2 linked regions of the Elephas maximus indicus genome follow. The protein of the gene in region 1 purifies or fractionates together with the protein of each later gene. This does not show direct contact. Links are inferred from orthologs where the notes say so. Each region holds a gene or a part of one and is shown in the gene's direction. Other genes may lie near its edges. The genes, in order: RPRD2 and RPRD1B.

Evidence for each region.
Region 2: the proteins of RPRD2 (region 1) and RPRD1B purify together in Homo sapiens (affinity purification with mass spectrometry; 4 studies listed by BioGRID and IntAct, counting the BioPlex papers as one, with this or other methods). This does not show direct contact. The link is inferred for Elephas maximus indicus from reciprocal best matches to the Homo sapiens genes RPRD2 and RPRD1B.

The regions. Positions count from the first base shown.
Region 1 is NC_064821.1:184,490,302-184,502,905, forward strand, and holds the start of RPRD2 (regulation of nuclear pre-mRNA domain-containing protein 2), read left to right. Parts: upstream 1-7,083; 5' UTR 7,084-7,682; coding exon 7,683-7,887; intron 7,888-12,604.
Region 2 is NC_064843.1:31,481,803-31,493,983, reverse strand, and holds the start of RPRD1B (regulation of nuclear pre-mRNA domain-containing protein 1B), read left to right. Parts: upstream 1-7,313; 5' UTR 7,314-7,715; coding exon 7,716-7,866; intron 7,867-12,181. UniProt on the Homo sapiens protein: Interacts with phosphorylated C-terminal heptapeptide repeat domain (CTD) of the largest RNA polymerase II subunit POLR2A, and participates in dephosphorylation of the CTD by RPAP2. Transcriptional regulator which enhances expression of CCND1.

The DNA.
Region 1 (12,604 bases):
TGAGTGTCCCAGACAGAAATAAAGTTCACACAGTGTCAGTAGGGCATCCACATGCAAGGCTGTTTATGCTGTGAAACCCCTGCCACTTCAATACTTTTGTTGACATCTGTCTCCTATAGTCCCCTGTGGTGTAACTGAAACTCCTTATCTCGGCAAGTCTGTTGAACTATACCATTTTTTCCTAATAAACGAGAGGTGAGGGTGGGCTGTTGAGTCTAACTCTTGCTATATTTACCCAATGTGCAACTGAATCCAATATGAGTGGTTACTGGGCAAGGACTGGTTATATTGATAGATAACAGGTCTCTGACCCATTTTGAGAGAACAGTCTTGTATGCTCTTTGCCATGATACAAACACAAGCGTATGCTGTTGTACACATCCTGGTAGACAACAAATGGAAATTCCAGTTCCGGATGATGCACAAAAGTGAGGGAACTCAAATAAGTTGATCATTGCAATGACAGACAACCACTTAACTGCTCCCTGTCACCAAAAATTAAAGAGATAACTGTGTGGCATCTGTCAGGAAGAGAAGATCGCAGATTTTTTTGGTAATTAGATTTTTTTTCTAAGAGGAGCCATTTAAAGCAAAATTGGTGAAAGCCAATTTTTCATTGTGGGAGATCAACAATTTTACACCGATCGTTCAAACAACTAAATTCATGGACTCATTTTCTTTGTTGTAGAATATGTAGAATATTCCTTCTGTCAGAAATGTGGTTATTGTTGTTCTTGTTAGATGTCGTCAAGTCAGTTCCAACTCATAGCGACCTCATGTACAACAGAACCAAACACTGCCTGGTCCTGTGCCATCCTCACAGTCGTTATGTCTGAGCCCATAGTTGCAACCACTGTGTCACTCCATCTTTTTGAGGGCCTTCCTCTTTTTCTCTGGCCCTCTACTTTACCAAGCATGATGTCTTTCTCCAGAGATGAGTACCTTCTGATAAGAAGTCCAAAGTATGTGCAATGAAGTCTTACCATCCTTGCTTCCAAAGAGCACTCTGGTTTCCGAGACAGATGTGTTTGTTCTTCTGGTAGTCTATGATATATTCAATATTCTTCACCAATACCATAATCCAAAGACATAAATTGTTCTTTGGTCTTTCTTATTCATTGTCCACCACTGCTTGAGTCAGGCACACCTTAGTCTTGAAGATGACATCTTTGCTTTTCAACACTTTAAAGAGGTCTTTTGCAGCAGATTTGCCCAATGCAATGTGTCTTTTGATTTCTTGACTGCTGCTTCCATGAGTGTTGACTGTGGATCCAAGTGAAGTGAAATCCTTGACAGCTTCAATCTTTTCTCCATTTATCATGATGTGGTAATTGGTCCAGTTGTGAGGATCTTTGTTTTCTTTATGTTGAGGTGCAATCCATACTGAAGGCTGTGGTCTTTGATCTTCATCAGTAAGTGCTTCAAGTCCTCTTCACTTTGAGCAAGCAAGGTTGTGTCATCTGCATAACGCAGGTAGTTAGTGAGTCTTCCTCCAATCCTGATACCCCGTTGTTCTTCATATAGTCCAGCTTTTTGGATTATTTGCTCAGCATACGAATTGAATAGGTATGGTAAAATGATACAACCCTTATGCACACCTTTCTTGATTTTAAACCACTCGGTATCTTCTTGTTCTCTCCGAACAACTGCCTCTTGATCTACAGATTCCTTATAAGCACCATTAGGTGTTCTGGTCAATGATGTAATTATATATATATATATATATATATATATATATATATATATATATATATATATATATATATATATATAAAATTAATATCGGAGCCCTAGTAATGCAGTGGTTAAGAGCTTGGGTGCTAACCAAAAGGTCAGCAGTTCAAATCCACCAGTCGCTCCCTGAAAACCCTGTGGGGCAGTTCTACTCTTTCTTATAGGGGCAGTATGAGTTGGAATCGACTCAACGGCAACAGGGTGGTTTAGTTTTGGTTTATCATTAATATCACACGCAAGTAAAATTTTTCTGAAGATAATCCAAAAATGGTTCCAGCAGTACATCGACAGAGAACTTCCAGAAATTCAAGCTGGATTCAGAAGATGACATGGAATGAGGGATATGATGTGAGAAGGATCTTGGCTGAAAGCAGAGAATACCAGAAAGAGGTTTACCTGTGTTTTATTTACTGTGTGAAGGCATTCAACTGTGTGGATTGTATCAAATTATGGATAACGTTGTGAAGAATGAGAATTCCAGAACACTTAATTGTGGTCATGGGGAAAATGTGATGTATTGTAAGAATCCTAGTACCTGTCTCAGTTATCTAGTATTGCTATAACAGAAATACCACAAGTTGATGGCTTTGACAAAGAGAAATTTATTCTCCTACGAATCCGCCAGGTGCTCCTTGGAAACTCTATGGGGCAGTTCTACTCTGTCCTATAGGGTCGCTATGAGTCGGAATCGACTTGACGGCACTGGGTTTGGGTACAGTCTAGGAGGCTAACAGTCTGTATTCAGGTGGCAGCTCCAGAGGAAGGCTCTCTGTCTCTATTAGCTTTGGGGTGGATCCTTGTCATCAATCTTCTCCTAATCTAGAAGCGTCTCAGCACAGGCACCCTGGGTCCAGAGGATGTGTTCTGCTCCCTGCACTGCTTTCAAGGTGGTATGAGGTTCCCCTGTCTCTCTGCTGGTTTTCTTCACTTATATCTCAGAAGACATTGATTTAAGACACAACCTAATCTTGTAAATTGAGTCCTGCCTAATTAACATAACTGCTTCATTAATATCATAGAGGTAGGATTTACAACACATAGGAAAATCACATCAGATGACAAAATGGTTGACAATCACACAATACTGGGAATCACGGCCTAGCCAAGTAGACACACATTTTTGGGGGGGACACAATTCAATCCACGACAGTACCCCACATCCACTAAAAATGTTATAATGGAGTTCACCTCATTCTGCTGAAATGGCATATGCAACTTTTGCCTCAAATCTTTAATATTATTAAAAAAAAAAACAAAAACCCAGTGCCATAGTCACATTTAAAAAGACGTTACATCATGGATAGCTAAGACACCCACGCATACATGTTATATATAAAATATGTGTATATATAACTTATATATCCCATTCAAACGTAAGTAAGCAGAGGAGGGGTACCACAGATTATCAGCGTTTAGTGCCTTAATCGGGCCCTGATGGTGAAGAAATATTTATATGGTTACCGTGCTAGGAGACCCTGGTGGCTTAGTGGTTAAGTGCTATAGCGTTACGTGCTCCTTGGAAACTCTACAGGGCAGTTCTACTCTGTCCTATAGGGTCACTATGAGTCGGAATTGACTAGACAGCGCAGGGTTTGGTTTTTTGGTGTTAGAAAACCCTGGTGGCATAGTGGTTTAGTGTTAGGGCTGCTAACCAAAAGATCGGCAGTTCAAATCCACCAGGTGGTCCTTGGAAACTCTATGGGGCAGTTCTACTCTGTCCTATAGGGTCACCGTAAGTTGAAATCAACTGGACAGCAACGGGCTCATGGGTGTTAGCATTTAATTGACTCAGTGGCAACGGGTTTGGTGGTTTGGTATTAGCATTAAAAAAGTAACTCCTGAGAATTTGGCTCTTTACCCATTTGTAGCTTTGAGACCTCTTGAAACCAAAATCAAGGAAGAACCCGGGCTTTTTCATTAAATTACGAGGTAATGGGTTAGCTATTGACTACCCTTTTTTACCTCAAAAAGACGAATGTACAATGTTGCAGAAAAGTTCCTGGTGAAAAAAAAGTCCATACTTTTGCAGTTTGGATGAGCCTGTTGTGGTTAATTTTTGGACTAGTGGGTAGGAGAAACCTTTTAAAATCAAAGTAAGATGTCTATTGTTAATTTTTTTCTTTCTCTTCACTAAGTCCCAGAGGGAAGGGATTTTGTCTGGTTTGCTCTCTGCATCTAGAACAGTACTTGGCACAAAGATGTGCAACAACTTTTTGTTGAATTAGTGAATGACCTGTTAAAAAATCCCCTGCTGTTGAGTTGATTCTGACTCAAAGTGAACCTACAGGAGCGGAAACTGTCCCATAGGGTTTTCAAGAAGTGGCTGATGAATTCAAACTGCTGACCTTTTTGCTTATTACTAGGGGAAACCCTAGTGGTGTAGTGGTTAAGAGTTACAGTTGCTAACCAAAAAGTTGGCAGTTCGAATCTACCAGGTGCTCCTCGGAAACCATACTGGACAGTTACATTCTGTCCTATAGCCTCACTCTGAGTTGGAATTAACTTGACAGCAACCAGTTTTTTTGTTTTGGTTATGCCACCAGGGCTCCGAATTAGTGAATACTAGATATGATGAGGAAACCCTGGTGGCGTAGTGATTAAGTGCTATGGCTGCTAACCAAAAGGTCGGCAGTTCAAATCCGCCAGGTGCTCCTTGGAAACTCTACGGGGCAGTTCTATTCTGTCCTATAGGGTCACTATGAGTTGGAATCGACTCGACGGCAGTGGGTTTGGTATTTTTCTTTGGTTAGATATGAGTTGGAATCCACTAGAGGGCAACGTTTTTTTTTTTTTAAGATACGAATTGGAGGAGCCCTGGTCGCTGAGTGGTTTAAGTGCTGAGCTGCTAACTGCCTGGTTTAAATCCACTAGCCTGCTCCATGGCAGAAAATGTGACAGTTTCTGTAAAGATTTACGGGCTTAGAAACCCTATGGGGCAGCTCTACTCTAGCCTATATGGTCGCTATGAGTTGGAATCCACTGGATGTCAATGGGTTTTTTTGCGGGGGGGGGCTTAAATATGAATTTAACAGATTCCCTGCCTAAAGAAACATGAGAGTCTAGTGTGGAGACATACAAAAAATTAAAACACAATAATTGCAGATGTTCAGTGGGAACATAAGAAAACCAGTGCCCCTTAATCAACTCCTACTCACTCATGTGTTCCATTTGGTTTTCAATAGCTCATTTTTCAGAAGTAGATCTCCAAGCCTTTCTTAGACTGTGCCTCTGGGTGGACTCAAACCTTCAACCTATTAGTTAGAGGCTGAGCTCATTGACTTTTTTTTTTTTTTTTAACAACAGCCAGCATTTATTCAGCACTTACATTAGGTGAGCTTTTCTTCTCATAATACCAGTGGGTTAGTTATTATCTTATCGATTCCATTTTACAGATTTAGTAGGGGAAAACTGAGGAAACTAGCATTTAGAAGGCTGAATAAGAGATCTAAAGCCACATAGGTCTTCAGGATCAGTGCCAAGATGTAGCTCCCAAGACTAGGTTCTTAACCCTTTGTAGGGATGCCCTCTAAGTTTCTTTGCTATAATTAGGTGGTGTTTACATAAAGCATTATTAATGACTTAAACCATGTGAGTTATGAATTTTAACTGTTCCTGATTCGTTAAAAATTCCAGGTCAGTCACAGATTCTCTTTGTGACTCAGAAGCAAATTCTAGTTTCTGGTTGCACAAAACCAAATTGGGAATAAAAAAATTACATACAAAAATTTGGGGAATATTTTAATCCATTAAAAAAAAATCAGTTGTTTTAAGTTCATGATTTTAATGTTGATTTGACCTTTTCCCAATATAACTTGTGAAGGCTTTTAAATCTGCATATTCTACTGATAGCTTTTCAGCAAGTGTAGTATGAGCTCATATGAGCTTATATGAGTGTATTCGTTAGAACGTTTTTGAAACAAGTAATAGAAAAATCCAACTTTAGTTCAAACCATGAAAGGGAATTGTTGGCACATGTATCTTAGACAGTTCAGTTCAGTAGTAAAGTAAAAAACCAGTTGCCGTCAATTCTGACTCATGGCGACCCCATGTGTGTCCGAGTAGAACTGTGTGCCATAGGGTTTTCAATGTCTGATTTTTCAGAAGTAGATTGCCAGGCCTTTCTTTTTTATTTTTTATAATTTTTAGTGTGCTTTAAGTGAAAGTTTACAAATCAAGTCAGTCTCTCATACAAAAACCCATATACACCTTGCTACACACTCCCAATTACTCTCCCCCTAATGAGACAGCCCGCTCTCTCCCTCCACTCTCTCTTTTAGTGTCCATTTCGCCAGCTTCTAACTCCCTCCACCCTCTCATCTCCCTTCCAGGCAGGAGATGCCAACCTAGTCTCAAGTGTCCACCTGATCCAAGAAGCTCACTCCTCACCAGCATCCCTCTCCAACCCATTGTCCAGTCCAGTCCATGGCTTCGGGAATGGTTCCTGTCCTGGGGCAACAGAAGGTCTGGTGGCCATGACCACCGGGGTCCTTCCATTAAGTCTGGTCTTATGAGAATTTGAGCTCATTGACTATTTGCAACAGACGCGGACTCCAGTGGAAACACAAGAGCACCAATTCTGCTCAGAGAAGTTTACATATGCAGATACAAGGGAAGCTTATTCTGAAGTTGTTCTAAACGGTATCAGACTAAGATTCTTGAAAACTATAATGTATCATGCAATTATGAGACTGTATTATAATTGGCAAAAAGCGAGGTCACATCTTGTCTTTTATCCTTTCCTCGTTTCAAAAACTTTAGGGGAAATGTTTCACTTTATTCTTCCTACAATCCAAACGGTCAAGTGACTGTGAATGGTATAGTCCAAAGGGGAGTGCGAAATATCGTTTGGTCTAGGAGACGGCGTAATGAATGCGCGATGAAGTGGCGCATGCGCATCATCTGAGGCGCCGCAAGATGGCTGGCAGTCGCTTTGCCCTGTGTCGTTGCTCCGTGGAGTTAGCAGAGGCGGGGCCTGCAGCTGCCGGACAATAACAGTAGCTGCTAAACAGTGGGGGCCCTGTCCCGTGAGCTGAACAGCCTCGAGAAAGTGATCCCGCCAGGGAGCAAAAGACGGGGAGGAGTGGTGGAGCCCCTCCCCGAAGCCGCTCCTCAACTTGACCAACTCCCTTTACCCTTCCCTCCCGGCTTTTTCTCCCTGCCCGCTTGCTACTCACTGAGCTGCTGCGCAGGCGCACAAATACTCGCAGCGCCACCTTTGCCTTTGGTGTTTGCGGGCTACTGCGCGCGCTTCTCCTTCTTCTTCTTTGATTGGTCAGATTGCCCCGCCATCACGTCTTCTGTTTTCTAGGTTGAGAAGGAAGCGGGGGTGTAGAGGTGGGGCCAAGCAGCGCGTGCGCTATACTGTTGCTGTCCTTTTGCGGCTGTTGCGTTGCAAAAAAAATCCTGACTAGGTAGCCTTGGGCCTTTTCTGTGCTTGGGGATCTAAAGGAGAAAGATTTCTCTAGCTGAGAGGGGCCACTCGGGTAGTATTGAATTTGAGATACTAACGCCCGCCCCTACTCACAGGATTATGGGGATAGGGGTGGGGAAGGTCCTTAATGTTGAGAGTCGAAGAATATAAAACCATTAGTTTCGAGGCCAGGCGTTTGGAAAGGCTTTGCAGGACCTGTTTTCTGCGTAATTCTTCCGTGATTACTGACTGGTTTAAACACGACCCCTTGAACAATATTGATAAACCTTCGAAACCTGCAGCCCCTCCTTGCAGCGTGTAGGAGCCGCCAGCGTGCCCAGCAGCTGGTCCTCCGGTCCGCACCTCCGGAAGAACCTAGCGCGTGCACCGTCCCCACCCCCTGGCCTCCCTCCCCACCTACGGCTTTCACGCACTCGCAGTGATTGTTTTGCCCGCTCCCGCCGCTGCCGCCGTCGCCGCCGCCGCCTCCGCCGCCGCCGCCGCCGGAGGAGCAGCAGCGCTTGTGCAAACCGGGAAGATGGCGGCCGGCGGCGGCGGAGGCAGCAGTAAGGCCTCCTCCTCGTCGGCCTCTTCGGCAGGGGCTCTGGAGTCCTCGTTGGATCGAAAATTCCAGTCGGTAACCAACACTATGGAATCCATTCAAGGCTTGTCGTCTTGGTGTATAGAGAACAAGAAACACCACAGTACTATCGTCTACCATTGGATGAAGTGGCTTCGGAGATGTGAGTGTTGGGGGGTGACTGGGAAGGGAAGACTGGGGAAATGGAAGGAGATACTACTGTCCGAAACGCTTGGGCTTTTCCCACGGAGCCGCTGCATTCGGTTGGGGTGGTTCACATTCAAGCTTGGACCCGAGTGTTCCCAAGCCCAGACTCCATTCCTAGTCAGGGTTTTCCTAAACTGCAGGAGGCTCGTTTCTTGAATTTTTTAGCTTCTGGCTTGGTGTGACCTTGGGCACTTGGGCCCAGATCCATAGCGATTTCCGTATTCTTTGAGATCTTTGTAAGGTGTGCCGTTGACTTTACTGAACCTTCACGGAAATTGTCGCGTCCGTTTATTTCTTGAAGGCCTTGACGTGTTAATAATTTCTGAGTTTTTTGATGAGAGAAAAGCTATGGTTTAAGCGGTAGTAAATTCACCTACCACTCTATTTTCCTCTGGTCTAAAACTTGTGATGTGTGATAAGGAAGGCCTTACCTGCTTGAATGTTAAGAAAAACCAACACGAGCTCCAAATAGGGCTGAGGTGACCACCTAGGAAGTTAAATACAGGTTTTTCATAACTGACCAGAAACAACTGCAATACTATAGTCACTATCATTACTAATACTTTTACATTTTAGTGTAAACCGTATCAGCTACTTTTTATTAATCTTAAATTCCTTTTTTAGACATTGAAATTAATTTCATAGGTAAAACAGGATATGTGCTTTTAGAGTATATAGTACTTTTTTTTTTTTTCCAGTTAACACTTTTTTTGTCTTCATCGTGGAATTTTTTTCCCCTTTGCTGCTTTACTACAGAAAAGAGGTCTATTAAGCTGTCAGGAAACATGGATCGTTTGCAGAAGATTTCAGATCTTACAGGAGGGAAGTGTGGAGAAGTCACTGTGCTTCCTGCTGAGAAGAGAGCATTAACCCTAACTCCATATATATCTATTTGAATTTGATATCTTTAACTGCTTCCTGTCTATGGCTTGTCACCAGTGAGGCACATCATCCACTTATTCTTGCCCCTGTAGTGTTTTGATTTGTGTTTACCTTTCAAGGAACAGATGGATAAAGCTCGCAAAACTGTAGGCCCCCCTTTGATTTGTGTTTAAGGTTATTGTTGGGAGAGAGATTTTGTAGTTCTTGGACTAATAATGCTGAACAATTAGTAGAGCCAAGACAGAACTACCTGTTTTTATCAATATAGCACGTATATACTTTCTTGGTAATAGGTAAAATTAGAACATGCGATATCAAATAAAGATAGTCCTAATCACAATCATCATCAAAGACTCACATATTATCTGCCATGTGCCGAGTCCTTTATTGTCATTTAACATATACATCTATCTCATTATTCCGTAAAATAACCGTGAGAAGTAGATTTTTTAATCACCAATTGAAAGATGAGGAAACTAAGGCTCAGAAATGTTAAGTTGCTTAAGGTTACACCATAAAATGGTGGGATCAGAATTTGACTCCATCAATTAGATGACAGTGGTCACATTTACCTTTGTAAAACAGTGTTTTCACCATTATTTTTTAATAATCTTAGTACGTTAATATACTTGGTTTTCTAATGGTAGCAGGTAGTGCTGATGTGAGCCTGAGAACATATTCTCCATCCTGTTTTAAAACATCTTTACTAAATTATACAAACGTTTAACATTTCTTACCTTTGGTCTCTGGTGCATTAACTATGTGGTTACAGTATTTGCAAGAATGATTTGGTCCCCATCTCTTTAGTGGGATCACCAGTGACAATTACAGTAATTTTTTGCTGGTTAGAAATAATAGTGAGATACACTGAAGCCAATTTTCCCCCTTGTGCTGTTGTTGATATTGTGCTTGAGCTTATTTCCCTTGTTGATATCTTAAGAGTGAAAAATGATTGATCTAGGAAGGCAGTCATTCATTTGAAGTGCATTCTGTATAGTTTCTATAGTTACATGCTTTTGGCTTTCTAAAATTCTGTGTTTTCCTGGTAGGGTGGAATTTAACTTCCTAAAATCGTTATTTTAAAGGGTAATTTATAGTGGTTTGTATTTCCATTTAATGAACATTATCTGCCTCATTGTATATAAAGCCTTTTGAGAGAAGTATTCTGGGGAGTGGCAAAAGGGCAGAGAGAAAATAATTTATGCATTGGGCCTCATTTTCATTTAAGTTTATATTTCATTTACAGTTGGATTTATTTTAGTTTGAGTCTGGTTTCTAAGTTAACTTTAGGGAAAATTGTGAAATAAGTATCTTGGGCATTCCCAGCCTTTCTGTCCGTTTTTCTGGTGCCACTTTGTCTTCTCTTTTTTTCCTTCTGACATCCATTATTTAGTAACTTATATTTAGACCTCAGTGTGAATTTAAGTAACTGTGTTAACTCTTCGGGAGGTATTTTCATTTAACCTTTATTTCATAATGTGTAATAAGAGATCTTTGTTCACTTTGAAGGAAATAATTTAGAGAAGGCCAGTAGTCTCCCTGAACTTATACTTGATGGGTGGGTTCTACTGATATTATTCTTTTAATTTGCTTAGGTGAAGCATTCATTACCGTTATTTTCTACAAAGATCTTTCAGTAGCATAAACAGATGTCATTCCTATGCTTTAAAACTCTCCAGTGATGTCTCATTGCAACAGGGTTCAAATCTAAACTTCTTTTATCAGAGTCTGCAAGATTGTACACTTCAGACTTCATCTCCTGCCTTTTCATTCAGGTCTGAGTTCAGATAACACCTCCTCAGAGAGGCCTTCCGTAATCACCTTATTTCAAGTGGTTGGTTTAATTACTCTTTTATGTATCACCTCAGTTTTAGTATGTGGAATTACCTCATTTTTTTGTTTACATTTTTATCGTTTGTCTTTCTCGACTGTCTTGTTCACTGCTGTATCCTCAAGCAACTAGAATAGTGCTAGTCACACGGTATGCAATCGGTAAATATTTGCCAATGTTATTTTGTTAAAATAGTTAATCAAGAACTTGAAGAACAGAATTGTTTTGATTTCTGCTTATTGGAAGGAGACATTTATAACTTAGTGGAAGAAATGATTGGCATGGTTGTCAGCAGGTTCAGGATATGGCTCTTATATGGACATGATGTTTAATTTGGCAAGGTTATCATTTCTATACTTTATTCCTTTCTCTCGTTTTTAGTGTACAATGGGAATCGTTATGGAAAAGTGGAAATACACAGATTTTACACTTAAGACCTAGGTTCGGATCTTAACTCTATCACTTAATACCTAGGTGACACTACATCTGATTTATGTAAGCCTCATTTGTGAGTAAAGATAGTAATTATATCTTGTAGGATTACTTTCTAGATTAAAGAAGGTAGTGTATATATTTTAGCATAGGGCACATGGAAAGCGTTCAGATTGTTTATAGTGACAGTGATGATGATGTGGATACAAGTAGTCGTAAGATCCTGAGTATTTAAAATAATTGTAGAAGAACTTTGTTTTGGGTACCCGTACCTGTTGCTGTCTTGTGGATTCCATTTCACAGTGGCCCTATAGGACAGAGTAGACTGCCTCATAAGAGGTTCCAAGGAGTGTCTGGTAGATTCAAACTGCCGACCTTTTGGTTCGCAGCTGAGCTCTTAACCACTGTGCCACCAGGGCTTCTGTTTGGGAAGTGCTGGAAATTATGTTCCCAGTCAGTAGCAGTTGAGTTGGACTGATATCTCTGTTATGAATCAGCAAGTGCTCGGAAGAGCTAGTAGGATAAAATGGAAAATAACATGTTCGTAACACCTCCATTTTGTCTTGTTTCTAACCATTGAATGGGTTGGTCTGTTTTAGAAGATTATATGAGAATTTAAGTGAGTTTTTTCAGGGGGGGAAGCAGTTAATGTCGAGTTGATTCCAACCCATGATGACCCATGTGTGTCAGAGTAGAACTGTGTTCCATAGAGTTTTCAGTGGGTGGTTTTTCAGAAGTAGATAACCAGGCCCTTCTTCTAAATTTGAAGGAAAGGAAGAGGGAAGTAAGGAAAAATTGTTGTTGGGTGCTGTAGAGTCGATTTCAACTCATAGTGAGCCACGCAACAGAGTAGAACGGCCCTATAGGGCTTTCTTGGCTGTAATCTTATGGAACAGATCCTCAGGTCTTTCTCCCGTAGAGCCGCTGGGTGGGTTCAAACTGCCAGCCTTTCAGTTAGCAGCTGAGCACTTAACCATATGCGCCACCAGGGCACAAAGGAAAGTGGAAGAGTAATTGCATATCAGTTAAAGAGCAGAAAATCTGTTAAAATTTCCCTCCACCTCTTTTTGGTACAAACTTCAAATATGTACAAAAATCAAAAAGTAATGACACCCCCTCTTCTACCGATCATATCACTTCAATAGTTATCAACTTCATGGACAAACATTTTTCATCTGTCCCATATATTCTCTCCCCACCACATTACTTTGAAGCAAATCTAAGTACAATCTGGTATTTTTTCCATAAGAGAGACTGTTATGTGAACCTGGACTAGAAAAAAAGTTCTTCATACAAGATTTATTTGTTGCAGAGAATTTGCAAAGTGCAGTTACCATTTTTGACCTATGACAATGGCTTCTCAGTTTGGATCTCAGGATCCTTAGGTGGACCATGAAGGTGGTAATAATTTTACAGCTAATTTTTGTTGAGAGCTTACTGTGTGCCAGGCGCTAGTCTAGTAATTTTACATGTATTAATTCATTTAATCTTCACAACAACTCGCTGAAGTACTATTATGACCCCCATT
Region 2 (12,181 bases), on another chromosome or scaffold:
TAATACTGTGAACGCTTGACTCAGTCACCAGAGGCCAAGGTCTAGTTCCCTCACTGGTTGAGCTCTGATATCACCTATGCCTGAACGGGATTCTGGATAAAAGCTGCCATACTCCTCTCTGGGGTGGGTTATTCCTACAGGCAGTTGATCTCTAGATTGTGCTAAATTCATTCCTGGGGAGCAATCGCTGTTCTAGATTTTGATTGTACCCCAGCCTACTTTGAGGCTATGTTTCCAAAACAGGGATGGAATAAGTGTGAGACAGGAATGTGACTATCTGGGATCTAGTCCTGGCTCTTACAGTACCTGGCTGTGTGATTGCCATAAATTTCCGTTCCTTCAACATAACATAAACTTGATGGATAAAATGATCTCTAAACTTCTTTTTTTTTTAAACTTCTAAGTCTGAACATACGGATAGGAAGACTGGGTTTAGATCTCAGAGACAAGAGTTCAGCCATAAGAATTGCCAACACAAGTTCTTGAATGGGAAGAAGAGAACTGATATTTGTTGGAAAAAACCTACCATATGCAAGGCAATGTGCTACTGCTAGGTATTTTGTGGATATAAATTTCTTACCCACAGCTGAGTAACCCAAGGCTCAGAGAGGTTAAGATGCCCAAGGTCACACAGCAATCAGGTGTTACATGGATTCATCTCAAGCCTGTCTGACTCCAAGGGCTATATGTACTCTTTCAAAAGTTCCAAACCTGTTTATCAGAATCAAGAAGAAACCATTTAAATATAGATTCCTGGGCCCACACCAGATCTACTGAATCAGAATCAGTATTTGAGGCGAGGGGGTGTCATGGTTGGGTCTATGATTTTAAAATTTCACAAGGTCAGTCTGACGACCAGTCAGGTTTGAGAATCCTGCACTATATACACTCTACATACACACATACTCTCGCTCTGGAGCAAGAGTCATTGATGAAAGACGTACATGCTCAATAACCCATCTGGTAGTAGCGTTCACAGTGAGCTGGAGGACTACTGTCTTGGGGTAAAATTATTTTGTCTCTCCAACCAAATGGTACACTGCTTAACTGCTGCAGCCTTATTTGTGGTTTCCCCAGCATCTGGTGCAGTGTCTGCCAAGCAGTTCCCACTCACTAAATATTTATTTAATAAACAAGTAAAAGAAGATAGATAAACATTAAACCTTTGGCATACCCTGAAGTTTTGTTGCTTCCTAGCCATCCCTCCTTCTACTTAGAAATGTTTCCTTTGCATATTCTAGGAGCCATACATTGTGCTAAGCTCTTAAGAGGGAAGGGAGATACAAAGTTAAGCAGAGGGTCTAGGCCTGCAAGGAGGAGGGCACTGCAGAACAGTAAATGCATATGACAGAATACGGAGGAGGGGAATCAGGAGACTTCCCATAAAGCCTTCCAGTCCTAGTTCCCCTCCCCTGTCTTGTGAGAACTAGGTTATTCTAGGCTCACTTAGTACTGTTTACAGCTCTCCTCTATAGAAGGCTTGTGACACTGCCTTGTATTAAACTTATACCATGTACCTGTCCCCTTAGACCAGAGGCTCTTTGGGAGGCAGTATATTCTACAACAGTGGTTCTTAACCAAAGGTGTACATCACAATACATATGATAGCTCTCTCCCCTTCTCTGCCATCTTTGTGTGTATGGCTGCCTCCCATCCTCACCAGGTCTTCTCAGAAGACTCTCAGGGTCAAGAGATTCCTGGCCAAGAAACAGAGGCAGAATTGTCCCATTCCCCAGTGGATTTGAATGAAAACTGGTAATAAAATCAGGCATGACTCCAACAAGAGACACTGGAGAAGAACCAACCTGGGTCTATAAGGGTCACACGTGATGGCACACAGAGTTACGCTCTATCAAGTTCACTAGCATCTTACCATATCAAGTGGAAAATTCCACCACTATCTGAACAATTGAACATGTTGTACTGGGAAAATTCTAGTTTCTTCCTTTGTTCTTATGCTTTGGCATTAATATGTTGATTCAGTAATAAATATGTGTGACCTTTTATTTGGAAAAAAAAAAAACACATATGATAGTGCTGTCCCCACCCCCAAATTATGCCCTGGCACTGGAAATCGAAATAAACTCTCTAGGACACATGTATCTATATAAAATAAACAGAGGACTTCCGCTTCCAGGAAGATGGAGTAGATGTACTTTTTCCTATCTTCCCACTAAGTACAACTAAAAACACTGGATGTTATATGGAAAACAAACCTAAGACTCTAAAATGTGGGAAGAAAATAAATTGGCTAGGGGCCTCAGGACCGAGAAATAACCTGGTGGTGAGTTCCCTGGGCTTATTTTTACCTCATATATCTCAGGCTTGGAACTGAAGAAGCTGGAAACCCCAAACACCAACAGGTGCAGACAAAAGAAGCCCCCCCAAAAGCCTTCCCTTTCTAGCCAAAGGACCAGGAAAGCACAGCCTAGCAAGACAGAAAACATTTAGACAGTAACTGGTTTACTTCAGCCAAACACCACAGAAATAAACGGCAGGCTCACCCCAATCTGTACCAAAAAAGGCTCAGTGCAGAATGTAGACTTCTACCTTCATGCAGCTATAATGAGGTGCCCCAACACCCCCGCCGAGGTGGTGCCAGAGAAGGCACAGGGACCCTCACCCCCACCACCACTGCAGTATCAGTGAAGACCACATGAGGAGTCAGAACACCCACCTCTGCCCAGCAGTAACAAGAAGCCCCCTTCACCTTGGGTGTCAGTAGAGGGTGGGTGGAGAACCTGAACTTCCACCTCCACCTGGCAGTAATGAGGCCCCCTTTCCGCTACTGGAGCAGTGCCAGAGAAAACCAGCTAAAACGGGAGGTTTAAATAAGAGCCAGAATCTCAACAAAACACAAAAATGTCCAGGTTTCAACTGAAAATCATTCATCATACAAGAACAAAGAAGATCCCAAAATGAATGAAAAAAAGACAATCAATAGATGTCAACACCAAGACAACAGAGATGTTAGAATTCTCTGACAAAAATATTACAGACGCTATGATTAAAACTCTTCAATAAACAATCATGAACATGCTTGTAACAAATGAAAAAACAGAAAACCTCAGTGAAGAAACAAAAGATATAAAGAACCAAATAGAAATTTTAGAACTAAAGAATACAGTAACACAAAAAAGCTCAGTGACAAAGTCAACAGCAGAATGGAGGGCACGGTGGAAGGGATCAGTGAACTGGAAGACAGAACAATAGAGATTGCCCAATCTGAACATGACAGAAAACATAAACTGAAAAGCCAAACAAACGCAGAGTCTCGAAGACCCGTGAGGCTCAAATGAAAGATCTAAGAGTTCTCAGAGCAGAAAAGAAGGCTGGCTGAGAAAAGTACTTGAAGAAAAAATGGCTGAAAGCTTCCCAAATTTGGAAAGAGATGTAAACCTATAGATTCATGAAGATTTGTGAGCCCCAAACAGGATAAACTCCCAGAAATCACTATCAATACACTTCATAATTAAATTTCTGAAAACTAAAGACAAAGTCCTGAAAGCAGCCAGAAAAAAATGACATCTAATAGGGGCAAAACAATTTGAATGACAGTACTTTTATCATTAGAAATCATTTAGGCCAGAGGGAAGTGGCACAATATTTTTCAGGTACTTAAACAAAAAAAAAAAAAACTGTCAATCCAGAATTCTATACCCAGCAAAAATGTTCATCAGAAATGAAGAGGAAATCAAGACATTTCCAGATGTCTAAAAGATAAGGGAATACTATAAATAACTTTATACACATAACCGACCACTAAGAGACAGAGCAAATGGGCAAACTCCTTGAAAAATACAAATTACTATAACTCACACAATATGAGATGGAATACCTGAATAACCATATTAACTATTATCAGTACCAGTTGCTGTCAGTTCGGACTCATGGCAACTCACGTGTGTCAGAGTAGAACTGTGCTGTATAGGGTTTTCAATCGTTGATTTTTCAAAAGTAGAGCAACAGGCCTTTCTTCTGATGCACCTCTAAACCAAAACCAATCCCACTGCTTTGAGTCAATTCAAACTCATAATGACCCTAAAGGGCAGAGTAGAATTGCCCCATACGGTTTCCAAGGAGCGCCTGGTGGATTTGAACTGACAAACCTTTGGTTAGCAGCTGTAGCACTTAACCACTATGCCACCAGGGTTTCCGATTCAGACATAGGTGCTCAAAATTTATTTGCTGAATGAATGAATGAACCAGTGGCTCAGGAATGAAGAATCTGGGATCACACATCAGATAATCTTAATCTGACTCTTGGCTCTGCCATTTCCTAGCTGTGTACTCTCGGATGGGTTACTTAACCACGCTTTATGTTTTCTCATTTATCAAATAATAACCCCATCCTATAGGCTATAAGGATTAAATATACGTAATGTACTTAATACACAGTGACTTGGTGTAAAAGCTCTCAATACGTGATTGTTACAGTATAGAATCGTGTATAGATTTGGATTCAAAAATCCTAGCTTACAATTATGACTAGTTACTGTCTGATTTTAGGCTACCCACTTCTATATTAATTCATTCAATCAGCTATGACTCAAGTGCTGGGGACAAAGGGATCGATAAAATGCAGTCCCTACCCTCAAATCTTAGTTATGTGATTTTGGGCAGGTCACTTAAAATGGGGATAATACAATACCTACCTCAGAGCTTTACTGTGAGAATTAAATGAGTTACTATGTGTAAACACAGTGTCTGGCACACAGCAAGCGCTCACTAAGTGTTAGGTACGATTATGATGATTCTAATCCGGAGAAAAAGTCCTGGTGGAGCAGTGGTTACGAGCTCAGCTGCTATAACCCAAGGGTTGGTGGTTCGAATGTACCAGCTGCTCCGTGGGAGAAAGATGCGGCAATCTGCTTCCATAAAGATTACAGGCTTGTAACATTTAGGATATTCTACTGGTCTCACCCCTTCCGGAGCAAGGAAGAATGAAGAAAACTAAAGGAACAAGGGAAAGATTAGTCCAGAGGACTAAGGGACTACAACTACCACAGCCTCCACTAGACTGAGGCCAGTACAACTAGATGGTGCCCAGCTACCGTCACTAACTGCTCCGACAGGGATCACAAGAGAGGGTCCCGAACAGAGCTGGAGAAAAATATAGAATAAAATTTTAACTCAAAAAGAAAGACCAAACTTACTGGCCTGACAGAGACTGGAGAAACCCTGAGTGTATGGCCCCCAGACATGCTTTCAACTCAGCTCAGTAATGAAGACATTCTTGACATTCACCCTTCTGCCAAAGATTGGACAGGCCCATAAAAACAAAACAAGACTAAAGGGGCACACCAGCCCAGGGGCAAGGACTAAAAGGCAGGAGGGGACAGGAAACCTGGTAACAAGGAACCTAAGGTTGAGAAGGGAGAGTGTTAACATGTCGTGGGGTTGTTAACCAATGTCATAAAACAGTATGTGTACTGTCTAATGAGAAACTTATTTGTTTTGTAAGCCTTCATCTAAAGGACAAAAAAAAAATTACAGGCTGGAAACCCTAAGTGGCAGTTCTACTCTGTCCTATAGGTCACTGAGTCAGAATCAACTCGACAGCAACATGTTTAGTATGGAAAAGGGATAAAGGCATTTAAGCAAAGAACTACAATACAGTGACAGTAAGAGCAAAAAACAGAGGCACCAACTAGAAGAAAGTCTCCTAAACTGCGGTCTGCCCACAACTGTGAAGTTCCACGGTGATCAAGAAAACCTTAACCTGAGAGTATGGCACCTGGACACCCTTTTAGGTCAGTAACGAAGTCACTCCTGAGGTTCACCCTTCAGTCAAAGATTAGACAGGCCCATAAAACAAAACGAGACCAAAGGGGCACACCAGCCCAGAGGTAACGATTAGAAGGCAGGAGGTAACAATAGGGAACCCAAGGTTGAAAAGAGAGGGTGTGGTGGGGTTGTAAGTGAATGTCACAAAACAACATGTGTACTGTTTAATAAGAAGCTAGTTTGTTCTTAAATCTTCATCTAAAACACAATTAAAAAAAAAGGAAAACCTTAAAATTCTGCTATGTCTATGATAACTGTTATAGATTGAATTTTGTCCCCCCAAAATGTGTGTCAACTTAGCGAAGCTATGAGTCCCTGTATTATGTGGTTGTCTTCCATTTTGTGATCTGATGTAATTATCCTATGTGTTGTAAATCCTAACCTCTATAGGATTGGAGGAAGTTATGTCAACCAGGCAGGACACAATCTACATGATTAGGTTATATCTGGAGTCAATCTTTTGAGATATAAAAGAGAGAATTGAGCAGAGAGGGACCTCATTACCATCAAGAAAGATGAGCTAGGAGCAAAGCACGTCCTTTGGACTGGGGTTCCTTGTGCTAAGACGCTCCTACACCAAAGGAAGATTGATGACAAGGACCTTACCCCAGAGCTGACAGACAGAAAGCCTTCCAACCTGGAGTTGGTGCCCTGAATTCAGACTTCTAGCCTCCTGAATTGTGAGAGAATAAATTTGCTTGTTAAAGTCATCTACTTGCGGTATTTCTGTTATGGCAGCACTAGATAACTAAGGCAGTAACCTCTCTACTCCCCCAGAGTAATTACAAAGACAAACTACTTTGCTGCTTTCACTGGAATTTAAAGCTTTAAAAAAATTGAGTAAGAATTCTTGAAGAGTGTTTCTTAAAGGAGGCTGACAGACACAGCGGGAAGGTAAGATAATTTCCCTTCCCCACCAAAGGTTAACATATTAAAGCTGAAAAACGTCAATTGGATGGTGAACCCCAGTGGGCAAAGGTTTCCTGTAACTGCCTAAACGAAGCAACCAATTAGAAGTCGAGAGCACAAGGTGTGTTTCATGGCAGTGCTGTCACAAAGGGACAGAATCGGACATTAAAGAGTGGGTCCTGGCGGCTGAGTAGGTGAGAAAGACGGCGTCACCTTTGGAGAGAGAAAAACAAAAGCCGAGGCGCGGAAGGGTGAAAGCGCACGTGCGTGGCTTGGAGGAATCAAAGCTTTTTAAGCGGCGGTCACAGTGCTGGACATGTACAGAGAGAAAGTGCGGCCTGGGGCTTGGCGGGTGAAAGAAGAAACCCTCCCTCCATACCTAGGCCATGATCCCTCAGCCTTGGTGTCCCCACAAGGCCCCTCTCCGGAACCCACTCGGCTGGGCTCCCAGCGGCTCTCGCCCCTCTTCCCTTACCTCGTCTTCTAGTCTTTCCCTTACTCTCCCTCCTCCTCCGCCCCGACGGAAGTGACGTTATAACGAATGCGCCGCACAGCGCTAGAAAGGTTCCGCGGGCGCGGGAGACAGGGTTCCGGCGGTACTCAGTGCGCCGGCGTACGGGCGCGAGCGGTTACAGCGCCTTCCGGGAGCCGAGAAACAGATTCCTCTCGCCGGGTTTATCGCCTTCGAAGTGCCCTGAGCAACGTTCGGAGAGGCTGCCGGTCCTGGAAAGACTTTTCTCTACAGCTCCGGACGCCTCTGGGTGCCCAACTACTCCGGCTCTTGCCCCTTGACCCTGCTCTCGCGGCGGGGTGAGAGGTCGGGTGGCCATCTTGTGGCGGCTGCGCGGGCGGCTGTTACTGCGGTGACCCATCCCCTCCTCCCACCTACCACCCGAGTCATCTGTCAGTCAGTAAAGAGTCCGGCAGTCTGTCAGGTGAGGCCTCGGCCTCGTGCCGTCGCTCTTCCTGCCGCACTGGGCGGCCCAGGCCGCTCCCTGCCGGCCCTCACCGTCGCCGCCATGTCCTCCTTCTCCGAGTCAGCTCTAGAGAAGAAGCTCTCGGAGCTGAGCAACTCTCAGCAGAGCGTGCAGACCCTGTCCCTGTGGCTCATTCACCACCGCAAGCACGCGGGGCCCATCGTCTCGGTGTGGCACCGCGAGCTCCGCAAAGGTAAACACCCCTTCCCCGCCCCCTTGGCTCAATCCCGGATTGTTCTCTCCCCCACCTTCTCCCTAGGCTCCTCTACTGCTTAATTGAGTCTTGCCTTCCAGACACGGGCTTCTGAGGCTGGAGATAGTGTTATCCCCATTTCTCGGAGAGGGAAACTGAGGCCCAGGAAAGTGTAAGGCATTTGTCCGAGGTCCCACTGACCAGGGCCCAGCTACCCAGACTCCCAGTTCATTAAGCCTTTCCCCCCGCAGAATTTTCTTCACACTTTTAAATGTTACTTTCTCGGCTGCCTTCAGCGCCCGATGGAGGGTACTGGCGCCAGCCTGTTAAATATGCCAGGTTCTGTGCTGGGCATTCAGAGTAACAGTCGGCAGGCTCAGGAGTCAAGCTGCCTAGATGGAGCCTGGCCCAACCACTTGCTAGCTGAGTGATGTTGGGCTCTCTTTGCCTTCATTTCCTCATCCATAAAACGGAGGCAAGCTTAGCTGTGACTTACAGAGCCTTTATTCTGTGCCAGCCACTATGCTAAGATCTTTATATATGTCCTTGTGCTCAGTCCTCAGAACAGCATTTTAGAGAGTTTAAGGGGCCACATCACTAGCCCTTACCTCTCAGGACCCTCCTTTCATGCAGCTGCCATAGTTTCCAGACCCTGCTCAAGATCACTGAGCTCAGCCTAGTACTGGGTTGGGCACTTGACGGTATGTTAGCCCCACAGCCTAAGAGCTTGGAATCTAAGCCTGGCTTTGCCACTTACTAATACGAATAACTTAACCCTCCTTGTCTCTCTGTTTCCTTAATTCTCAGAGTCCTATGAAGTAGGAGGAGCCCTGGTGGCACAGTGGTTAAGGATTAGGCTGTTAACCAAAAGGTTGGCAGTTCAAATCTACCAGCCACTCCTTGGAAACCTATGGGGCAGTTCTTCTCTGTCCTGTATGGTCCCAATGAGTTGAAATCAACTTGACGGCGATGGGTTATGAAGTAGGAAGTGGCTTGGTGGCGCAGTGGTTAAGAGCTATGGTTGCTAACCAAAAAGGCAGGCAGTTTGAATCTACCATCCTCTCCTTGGAAACCCTTTGGAGTGGTTCTACTCAGTCCTGTAGGGTTGCTATGAGTTGGAATCGACTCCGTGGCAATGTTTGTTTTTTTTTTTTTTAAATAAAGTAGGATCTTTGCAGATGAGGAAAAACTGATGCTGAAACAACAACTTGTGGTGAGCGGTAAACAAAATAATCCAGATGAGCATTTAGTGTGGTGTCAGACACAGTGAAGGCATTTGGTTAATTGTGGTGAGATGGGACTGTTGATTATTCAGTGTGAGGCAGAGTCCTCGTCTTAAGTTGCTTACAGTTGGTGGGGAAAGGTGGACACCTACACCTCTGATACCCCAGTGAGTGCCATAACAGAAGGATGAGGAGATGGTACGGGCGCTTAAGAGTTATACTGGACAGCCTAGACAGCAGAGAAAGTGACTTTACCTGTGTTCTCTACTACCTGTGAGGTGGAGGGTATCTCCCCACTTTACAGATGAGGAAACTGAAGCTCAGAGTGGCTAAGTGGTATTTCCGAGGCCTTAGAGCTGGTGAGACTATGTCAGGTTGGCAAGCTCCAAAACCCAAATTTTGGAGCCTCCCCGGCCCCAGCAGACTCAGTTCTAGCCTACTAGCAGAGACTCCAGAATATCATGGCCTGTACGGGATCCCCTCAGCCCTCTGGGCACTGGGGTAGAGCCTGGGGCTGCCAGAGCCTCCTTCATGTAACTTGTGCTGAGATGTGGCAAACGTGTATTGCCTCAGCAGGATCGTGTTAGGTAGCATTTCAGTCCATCTCAAATAGCCACATGTGGCTTGTGGCTACCATATTGGACAGTGCAGAACTAGAGGAAGCTCCATCCAGGCATCAAGATGCAACTTCCTAATACGCAGGCTTGCTTTGTGAATTGAAAATGCCCTCACACTAAAGTGGAAAAGGATTTTCTGTTCTAATGTTCAAACTGACTGGCCTTTTAGATTCTAGGCCACCCTGATTCTTTAAGAAGTGGACATTTCTGTTTATGGTCATTTTCTTTATGTAAGTTTTTCACTGACTGACTCTGAGTTGCTTTCAAAATATTTACCAGACTTCCAGAAATCACTGTTTCTCACTTAAACGCGCCTTCTATTCCTGATGTGTTACTTTCTTTCCAGTTTCCTAGGAAGAATTCTTAATTTATTCCTTTGGGCTCAGTTCTAAGTCGAATGTCTCTTGTTCTTCATGAAGTAGTTTGGTGCAGAATGGTCTTAGATGAACATATTTTAATGGTGTTTTTGTATCCTAGCCTGAATGCAGATACATAGGCTTTTTTCCAAAATTACCGTAAAACTTTCTTTAGATGTCAAAACAACCACCCAAGTGAAAATTTTTGGTCAGCCAGTTGTTTATACTTTGCTCAACAACTAGTTCAACCAATTTGGAATGAGCATAAGTAGGAGAATGAAAGGACCTCTTTTGTCATATTGAAAAGACGTCTGAACGAGTGAGTTGTCACCCAGGGCTGGAGTGGAGGAATGTGGTGTATGTGTTGTGTGTATTATGAATGCATGAGTTCAAGTGCTCTAGTGCTTTGTTGTATCACCTTTACATACACAGTGTTTATGTTGACGGTTACATGCTAGATGTGGAGGAGTAAGGGTTTTTTTAATAGATAAATTTAATTTAAGAAAGTAGATAATTCTCAGTCAAAAATCAAAATGGCATAGAAAGCTGTACATTAAAAGATGTCACTGCTTCCCATGTCCATGTCTATCCTATTCCCACTCCACACATACCCTGTTTGTAACCACTTTTATTATATTCCTATGTCCTTCCAGCAGGGTTTTTTAATTGTTAAAAAAAAAAAAAAAAAATTACACATAGGGTTGCTGTGAGTCGGAATCAACTTGATGGCAACAAGTTTGATTTTATCTCTCTGTAAAATACATTTGCCAATTCAACATTTTCAGTTATACAATTTAGTGATATCAGTTACATTAATCATGTTCTACAACCATAATTTTTTGTTGATGGAGGGATAAAGTTTTATCCTAAATAAATCCCCTTCATTAAGTTTGGGGATGATGGAAATTAATTGACATTGTAGATGGTGAAAAACCTGACTCTAGTCAGATACTGTATTTGTAATACAAAAAAAGTATGAGGTTTTGAATGGCCAAATTAACTTTTTACAATATGGATTTCTGGATTTTTTTTTTTTTTTTGTAGTTTATTGTGCTTTAAGCGAAAGTTTATAAATCAAGTCAGTCTCTCATACAAAAACGTACATATACCTTGCTATGTACTCCTCGCTGCTCTCCACCTAAGGAGACAGCATACTTCTCTCCACCCTGTGTTTCCCGTAACCATTCAACCAGCTCCTGTCCCCTCTGCCTTTTCATCTCGCCTCTAGACAAGAGCTGCCTGCATAGTCTCATGTGTCTACTTGAGCCAAGAAACTCACTTCTCACCAGTATCATTTTCTGTCTTATAGTCCAGTCCAATTCTTGTCTGAAGAGTTGGCTTTGGGAATGGTTCCAGTCTTGGGCTAACAAAAGGTCCGGGGACCGTGACCTGCAGGGACCCTCTAGTCTCAGTCAGACCATTAAGTCTGGTCTTTTTACGAGAATTTGAGGTCTGCATCCCGCTGTTCTCCTTCCTACTCCATCAGGGATTCTCTGCTGTCAGGGCGGTCATCCGTTGTAGCCAGGCACCATCTAGTTCTTGGATTCTGGATTTTTTAAGATGAAGTATATGGAATTTACGAAATTTCACTTAGTCAGATTTGCTTTGTTAAAACTTTTTTTTTTTCTTAATCCAGTAGCTTTCATGGCATTATGAACTTGATGTTTTGAATTACTACAACTTCTCAGAACAAGGTTTGCTTTTTTTTTTTTTTTTTTTTAAAGTCTTTGCCATAATCATACCTTTGTAGCAATGGTGGGCTATTTTAACTAGTGACACTTTTGTTCTGCTTTTGAATAACAATTAGAACAGTGCAAGATAGCTCCGTGTTCCCAATATTCTCATCGAGTTCCCAATATTCTCATCGGTTGGCCATCTAAACTAGGTTACCAGAAGGTTAATACAATACAGGGTATCCATTTTTAATATTATGAGCACTTTTTAAGACATCAATTTAAACTATGATATCCCTTAAAAAATCTTGATTTTTACTTGGGTTATTCTCATGCAGCTACTAGCTACATTTTAAAATGTCAGCTCTTATGCCTGCTGTGTCAGAACTTACACATGCTATGTGCATTTCAGAAGAAACAGAAAAGTGGTTTCTGAGAGAAACGGA